Canis lupus familiaris: one gene and its partner. The protein of the gene in region 1 interacts with the protein of each later gene in a biochemical or structural test. Links are inferred from orthologs where the notes say so. Each region holds a gene or a part of one and is shown on either strand. Other genes may lie near its edges.

Region 1 (3,559 bases):
GTGTGGCTTGATAGCCGTGCTCTGAAAAAGCACCTCGGACTGAAATCAACATTGGAAATAGGTCAGATGCCCAACATTTTGGGGTGACACAAGACTGCCCAAAAGGAAAAGCAAATGTCTACAAACACAGACACTGAAAGGACCAAGCAGAAGGTGAACGCTGTCAGCACTTAAGACGCGCCAAATGTTAGTCACGAGAAGGCATGACCAGTGACATGTGAGTGATGGCACCTGGGGGCAGATGCTGGGGACCTCACGACCAGCACCTGCGACATCCCCAGCTCCTGTGCCGCCATGTCCCCTAATTCCAACGTGGCAAAACTGCCTTTGTTTAAACACAAATCGCTCAACGATTTCACAATCAGCAGTAATTCTAAATTCTGTAGTTAGAGACTGAGCAAGTTTTAGAGACCCCTTTAGAAACCACAGGTCAGAAGCCTCTTTACATTCCCAAGACTTTCAGAGTCAGCATGATACGCACGCAGCCAGAGGAAAAGTGACAACTTAGGTGTTTTGTGAGCACAGCCAATAAACCCGGGCTTTCCCCAAAAGACCCTCTGCTTCCACAATGACCCAGCCAGGCAACACCCGGAAAAGGCATACAGCACTCTATGTGCTTGCTACGGCAAAGCCACTCGGGACTCAGCTCCCTGATGGGATGTCACCACAGATGCCCCATTCACACCGACTCCGGGAGCCACTGCTGGAAACTCGGGAACAATGGGAGCTTTTTCCCTTGCAATACAATTTTTATCTACAGAACATTTACATAATTACATAATGAGAGCTCACAGATTCTCTATTCAAATTAATGGAATAACAAAGTAATACAGTTTTGATTCATAGGCACTCTCAAGGATCCCTCCACCCCTTGCCCCTCAATAACTCAGATAAAAGACATATCTGCTCAAGGCGAATTTCAATCTTGAGTTTGTTCAAAAGTCCTCAATCGCATGATTGTTCCGAGACAACGCGAAGCTACAAGACAACGCGAAGCTAGCAGCGCTGACACCAAGAAAAGTGAGCACAATGCGACGTCGAACCCAAAAGCGCGGGCGCAGAAGCGAATCAGCCCCCAAGCCCCCAAGCGTGAGATGCCGGTGACCCGAGAACGCGGTGCCCGTGCCGGGCCCCCCTACGGATGCGGAATTCAGGATGTCCCGGCATCCCCTGTGAGGAGGGGAGAGAGGCTGAGCTGTGTGGAAATGCGGCAAAGCAGCAACCCGGCCCCCCGCCCCCCGCCCGCGCCTGTGGCCCGTGAGCGTCGCCAGCGAGGACAGACAGTAGCGGGACAGCATCCCCGCTGGGGCTTAGCTCACCTGCTCACTCTCCTTCCTTTTCCTTGTCAACTAAAGTGGACACACGTGGTGTGCGCCCCTAGTTACTCCTCAGAGCTCACCTTGCCTGAGCCCCGCTTGGGCACACCCCTGTCACCGCCAAAGAAGCGCCCGAGGGAGTCAAGGATGCCCGTGTCTCTGTGCCTCGGGAGGAAGCCATGCCTGGCGTGATCCATGGCGCTTGCTGAGGCCAGGTACTTGGATCCGTGCCTCTGGGAGGGTCTTTTCTGTGACGCCATCACATCCAGGCCCTCGGGAGTGGCTGCGCTGTCCTCTTGGATGGTCTGGAGCTCGTCTGACTCCGAGGGCCTGTCTTTGAAGGTGTTGTCCTCCCTCCCCGGGGCATCTCGGGAAAAGAGGCGGATCAAGTGGGGGCGGCCCCCTGGGTCAGCTGGGTTGGCGTCCTGCCAGGCATTCTTTGGGTCTGCTGTGCGCTTGGAGTCTGTCACCGCTGTGTCCTGAGAGGGGGTCCCATTGTTCTGCTCCACATCTGCCTCCCCTGCAAACAACAGTGAGATATGAACACGGGCCGTGCAAAGCAGAGTGAGGGACAATGCGGCTTTCTTCCAGGGCTGGGGACCTGCTTGTGTCCTACCAAACCCACAGAATGCATGCGCGCCCGGGGCCGTCAAGCTACCTGGTAGCCCCAGATCACTCGTGGTGGGACCCAACCTGGACTGAGCGTCCTACTTGCAGGTCTTGTCTCGGGGAACCCCAGGGGCTGCCTCAGTTACTCGACACCTGGTGCCCTAGATAAAGCGTACCCCAGCTTCCTGCTGAGGAGGCCCAAGCAGACACAGCAGTCACCCCTGGGCGCCGCCGCTGCTGCTGCTGGGCGTGGAGGGGCCAGGGCTGCAGGCGCCTCTGTGGGACATCGAATCCCTCCAACTCCACTGGTGCACAAGCTAAGCGTGTTGGGAGCAGTGGTTTGATCAAAGGTATTTTCAGTGTTCTCGATAAAAATGGAACTTCCCACATCTTTTTGCAATTCATGCCCTAAAGAAATGGGGCATTTAGAATCCTTGAGTTTCCAGATTCCACAAGAGGCCTCTTGCATTAGAGAATTGCTTATTCAGGGTATTTTAATTTGGCTTTTCTTCTGCAAGCAGCCCCAGTTACAAAGTGTGAAGTGGGAATGGCGTATTCTGTGAGCCATATGACCTTCTCCCAGCTTTCACACATGTACGGGAAAATACCGCATTTCCTTCCAGAATGGCAACACACCCATTTTGCTCTCAAGTTACAAGTTAGGTTTGAGGGTATGTCCACCCTACTTCACTCCCCCCTTCATTACATATCTATAGAAAATGTGGGTTTACTCATGCTTTCCTCTAATATCATCCATCCATCCATCCATCCATCCACCCAACCAGCACCAATCTGTTCACTGACATTTACCAGCAACAGCACCCACTTGCCCATTTATCTGCTGAGCCACCTACCTACCAATCCAGCTACTGATCCAGTCACTGACCTGTCCACCCAGCTAACCCTCCACCCAGTCAGCTGCACATCTTTCCACCTACCCACCCAATCACCCATCCATCTGCCCGCCCACCCACCCAGCCCCCCAACCATCCATCCACCTGCCCAACTACCCACTCACCCAGCTGTCCAATCATCTATCCACCCACCCCCAGCCAACCACCCACCCAACAGCCCAACCATCCATCCACCCACCCAACCATCCACTCACACACCCAACCACCAACTCAGCCACCCATCCATCCACCTGGCCACCCATTCATTATTTATGGAGCACTTAATAACCATCATATACTGAGCTAAATGTTTGGGCTGCAGTGATGAAAAAGATGTGGTCCTTGTCTCATAAACATTAATGGAAATGAATATTAGGAAATGAAGTATCCCCCAAAAAGGCAGGTCCCCATCCTAAGTCTCAGTCCCTGTGAATGTAAACTTATTTGGAAATAGGATCTTTTGTGGATATAATCCAGGTAAGATGAGGTCGTCCTGGCTGAGGGTGGGCCTAACCAAGTGACTGGCTGGTGTCTGTATAAAAAGAGGGAGATACAAAAGGGATATAAAAAGATACAGACGCAGACACACAGGGAAGGGACCTTGGGATGGTGGCAGGGACGGGAGTGACGTGGGAACACCCGAAGGTAAGAGACAGGGCACAGGTCCTCCCCTAGAGCTGGTGGCGAGAGCACAGCCCTGCTGACACCTTGGTTTCAGATTCCCGGCCTCCAGACTTTGAG
Region 2 (4,210 bases), on another chromosome or scaffold:
GACTGCTCTTTTATGTACAAGATGCCCAATCCCTGGTGTGTCTTACGTGTGTAGGTGTGTAGAAAGCCACACTGCATCTATAAATTTTAGCAAATGCTGTAATTTGCTTTGGGATTTTCTAGCAGGGGACTCAGCGGCGGCATGGGGACGAATTGGAACTTTCTAGAAACCATACCCCCTAACACAAGATGAACACTGGATAGTTTCCCTAAACAAGTGCATTACTTACAATTTTCTATTTAGATCGTCCGTTTACTTTTTTTGTTTTTTTTTTTTTAAGAGCTGCTCTACTGCACAGAGTGCACAACACCGGCAAGGATGGTCTTTTTTTGGAAAACATTCATCAACTTTTACTTTCACCCACCCTCGCCCCCAACTTATTTTTTGAGCTCTTTTATGCAGTAATCACTCCCAATTCTACACACGCGGAGACGCACGGAGGTCTTTTTTTTTTTTTTTTTTTTTTTCTGCACAGTACGGAGGGGCAAGAGACACCAGCAAGCAAGCAACTCTTTTAACTTTCCAGTTCCGTTTCGAGAAATGATCGGCTAGAAGTCCTGAGAACGGCAGCCCGGCGAGGCAGACGCGCTTCTCCCCAGGCGGGGTGTGGGTCGGGAGCAAGGCGCGCTTCCGCGGGAGGGAGGGGGGCGGGCCGGGCGCGGGGCTGGGGCTGGGGCGGGGGCGGGGGGGAGTCAGGTGGCTCCGGAGCGGGAGCCCGAGCGGAGCGACGCGGCGGGGGCGCGTGCGGGGTGCGCCTCCCTCCGGCCGGCGCGAGGAGGCCGCCCCCGCGCTCGCCAGTCCGCCGGCCCCGCGCTGCGATCGGCGGGGGCGCCAGGGGCGCCGGGCGCCCGCGTCTCCTCCCTCCCTCCCTCCGGCCGGGCGCGCGGGCTCCCTCCCCCCCCCCCCCCCCCACCCCTGGCAGGTCCCTCCCCCCTGCCTGCTCCCGCGGCCGCCGCCGCCGCCGCCGCCGCTACCGGAGGCGCAGGAGCCTCGCGATAGTGTTTGCACAGGCGGCGCGTGACGCCGCCGCCGCCTGTAACTGATGCAGAGGTTACCCCGCCGCCTCAGCCGCCTCAGCCGCCACCCACCGCCCGCCGCCGCCGCCGCCGCCGCCCAGGCGACGCCGGGGGCCGACGCACTGCAGAGGTGCCGGCAGGTTCCGCTCGCGGAAGTGCCCTCGGCCGGCGCTGCCCGCGCTCCGCCCGCACCCGGCGGGCGCCCCCTCGACGCCTCCGCCGCCGCGCTCCTTCCCCCCGCCTCCTCCCCGGCGCGCCCGCCTGCTCCCTCGCTTCTCCCCCTTTTCCTCCTCCCCTCACCTCTTCCCTCCCCACCTCCCCCCCTCCTCGGCTTCCTCCCCCATCCCCTTGACTCTCCCCTCCCTGCCCTCCCTCGCTCCGTCGCTCGCCCTCAGCGCGCGGCCCCCGCCATGACGGAGGCGGGTGCCGGGGCCGTTGCCGCCGCCGCCGCCGCCGCCGTCGCACGGGGGGAGTCGGGTTCCCAGAAAGTAGCTTGATGAGTGTCCAAAGTAGCAGTGGAAGTTTGGAGGGGCCGCCATCTTGGTCCCAGCTCTCCACGTCTCCAACCCCGGGCTCGGCGGCGGCGGCCAGGTCCCTGCTGAATCACACGCCGCCATCCGGGAGGCCCAGGGAAGGTAAGCGCCGTCGCGCCCGCCCGCGGGCCTCCGCTCCCCCCCGGTCTCTCTCCCCGACCCCAGGGTGGGGGATGGTGGCGAGGTGGACGCGAGGCCGCCCGGCTGCGGGGGGCGGTTCGCGGGCGGCGGCGGCGGCGGCCGAGGGGGTGCGCGCCGGAGGGCGCGGGGCGCGGCGCGGCGCGCAGACTCGCACGGGGCTCGGAGCAGCCTGGCTGCTAGGGTGGGAAGCGCCCCCCCGCTCCCCCCGGACGCCAGCCCCTTTCTGCTCCATTTGCTAGTGCACTCAGCGCTCTTAACCTCCTGGCCTCCGCTCTCCGGTGGGTTTTCCCTCCCGGTGAAGCCTTCATCCCTGAGCCCCCTCCCCTTCCCCCGCGCACTCCTCCCCTAGAGGCGGTCCCCGCTCGGCGAGCCTCGCAGCCCGGGACCCGGAGGAGGATGCCCTCGCTGGCACGGCCCCTGCCCCTGGGGCGGGGGGGGCGGGGGGAGTCGCTTACATTGTCAAAGCCCGACTTGGATCCCCTGCCTGGCCCCTTAGAGCAGTTTAAACGACAGGCTGGACTCGTGGGCAGGCTTTTAAAACCACCCCCTCCAGATGGCTGCAACTTTCTCTTCCTTCGCCATCACCTCCCGCGCGTCTGTGCGTCCTCTCTCCCTCCCCCCCCCCCCTCTCTCTCTCTCTCTCTCTCTCTCTCTCTCGCAGGGTCGTGGGGTCTTGCGGGAAACAACCGGGGTAAAGGTGAATGCAAACACGCACCGGATCGGTTAGCAATTGTTTTCTAAGTTTTCTGGTTTCTTGCATGCAAAGGGTGCTGCCGCCAGATGTAGCAGTTACACAGCCATAGTAAGACACAGGAGTGCTTTTGACTTACATTTTTTAACTTGCTGTATTTAACTTTAAGTGTACGACATAAGGTGAAATCTGGGAGAACGCGCGTTTATGGGGGAAGAATGTAACGCGCGTGGAATCGGCGTTTGACGCCCCTTTTGTCTGGGAAAACGTTTAGCGGTATTCATCAGCAATTGGTAAATGGGTTGTTCTGTGCACTCCCAGTTGTGTCACACAGGGAGACTGAAGCCACATTTTCAAAAAAAAAAACGTCTGGAAGTCCAGTAGTCTGGTGAATCCTTCAAAGAAACCAGGAGCTTTAATTTATGTAGGAATCGGTGGGGTTAATTTATTTTGAAGATCTCTGTCAATATTTACTATCTGGCCTTGACAATTGTTAATCAAGTGTTTTGTGCCCTGAATCTAGTGGTTCAGGCATAGCATTCTTTGTCATTTTGTTCCTGTGAGCATGTGTGAAAGTGACAATAGGCTCAAAGATTGGCATGAATTTGCTCCAGAAAATTCATGGAAAGATTTGATTTATGGCATCCATTAGACAAGCAGAATGTATTAACAGACCCCTTTCCCTCTCACCCCCAACACCGAGTTCTGATTATCACAAGATAAAAGTTTATTTTTTGACTAATTCAAATTTAGTGCATCTGGCGATTTTTCTTTTTGCACTTGAAAATTTGTAAATGAATGTTTCAAAATCTATTTTGTAGACAGAGCAGTTGGTGCTTTTAGCATACTTCTACTTTTGTAGTTTCATTAAGATGCTTAATGGTAGTGTTATCAGTGAGAGTGCAATGAGTTATAGTAAATGATGGCCATGGGAAAGACTGCCTTTTAAAAGGCTTTACCTTTTTTTCATTCATTCATTTCTCAAATATTTATTGAGCCATTTCTGTGAGCCAGGGGCTGTACTAGATACTGAGAGGACATAGTGTTGAATTGTTCATCTGTAACATCAGTTATCAGTAATTTGGGGACTGCAAAATTAGATTGTGAGTTTCTGAGATTACTTCAACTCTAGTTAAAAAAAAAAAAAAAACAAAACAAAAAACAAACTTCTATACTATTCTGTACTTTTCCTGATGTTTGAAAATTCTGAGGGGTTGGAATAATTTAGCTTGAACTTCTGAATAACCAGAATTCTTTCTAGAAGTTTGGGTTACAGTAGGCTTTTTATAAAGTAAATTAGTGAATCTTTTGTTAATGAAAAAACAAGACATGCTTTTGTGATCGTTATATTTCACCAAGTACCTCTATGGCCACAGTGGTGTATTTCTTTTTGACCAACCAGCATGTAAGTTAAAACTGTGTTAATCTTCTCAAGGGTTATATATATTTATCTTGAAGCTACAGTCTCATATCATTAGTGCTAACAGGAATTGCATATATGAAACCCTAGATATACGATGAAGACATTTTCTATTGAGTGAGATCCCAGTTTTCATTTTAACAAGTGTTTAGCATCTTTTGCAGGTGTACGTGTTAGTATATTGTATAAATTGATGTACGTTGAGAGAGCTTTGGACTTACAGTGACTGTAAGAATAATAATAATAATAATAATATTAGTAGAACTTGAATATATGTATCAAGGTGAGAACAAACTTTGTTTCTGAAGAATTGAACCAATTTAATGTAATATATAATAGAAAAATTTGGACTTAAAAGATATATATGTGTACATGTATTTTTAAGGTTATGTGATGAAGTGCTCTTAAG

Evidence for each region.
Region 2: the proteins of MBP (region 1) and TLK1 form a complex in vitro, tested with the Homo sapiens proteins (2 studies listed by BioGRID, with this or other methods). The link is inferred for Canis lupus familiaris from reciprocal best matches to the Homo sapiens genes MBP and TLK1.

The regions. Positions count from the first base shown.
Region 1 is NC_049222.1:2,890,249-2,893,807, reverse strand, and holds part of MBP (myelin basic protein), read right to left. Parts: intron 1,837-3,559; coding exon 1,400-1,836; intron 1-1,399. UniProt on the Homo sapiens protein: The classic group of MBP isoforms (isoform 4-isoform 14) are with PLP the most abundant protein components of the myelin membrane in the CNS. They have a role in both its formation and stabilization.
Region 2 is NC_049257.1:15,984,134-15,988,343, reverse strand, and holds the start of TLK1 (serine/threonine-protein kinase tousled-like 1), read left to right. Parts: upstream 1-1,398; 5' UTR 1,399-1,512; coding exon 1,513-1,651; intron 1,652-1,929; coding exon 1,930-1,968; intron 1,969-4,210. UniProt on the Homo sapiens protein: Rapidly and transiently inhibited by phosphorylation following the generation of DNA double-stranded breaks during S-phase. This is cell cycle checkpoint and ATM-pathway dependent and appears to regulate processes involved in chromatin assembly.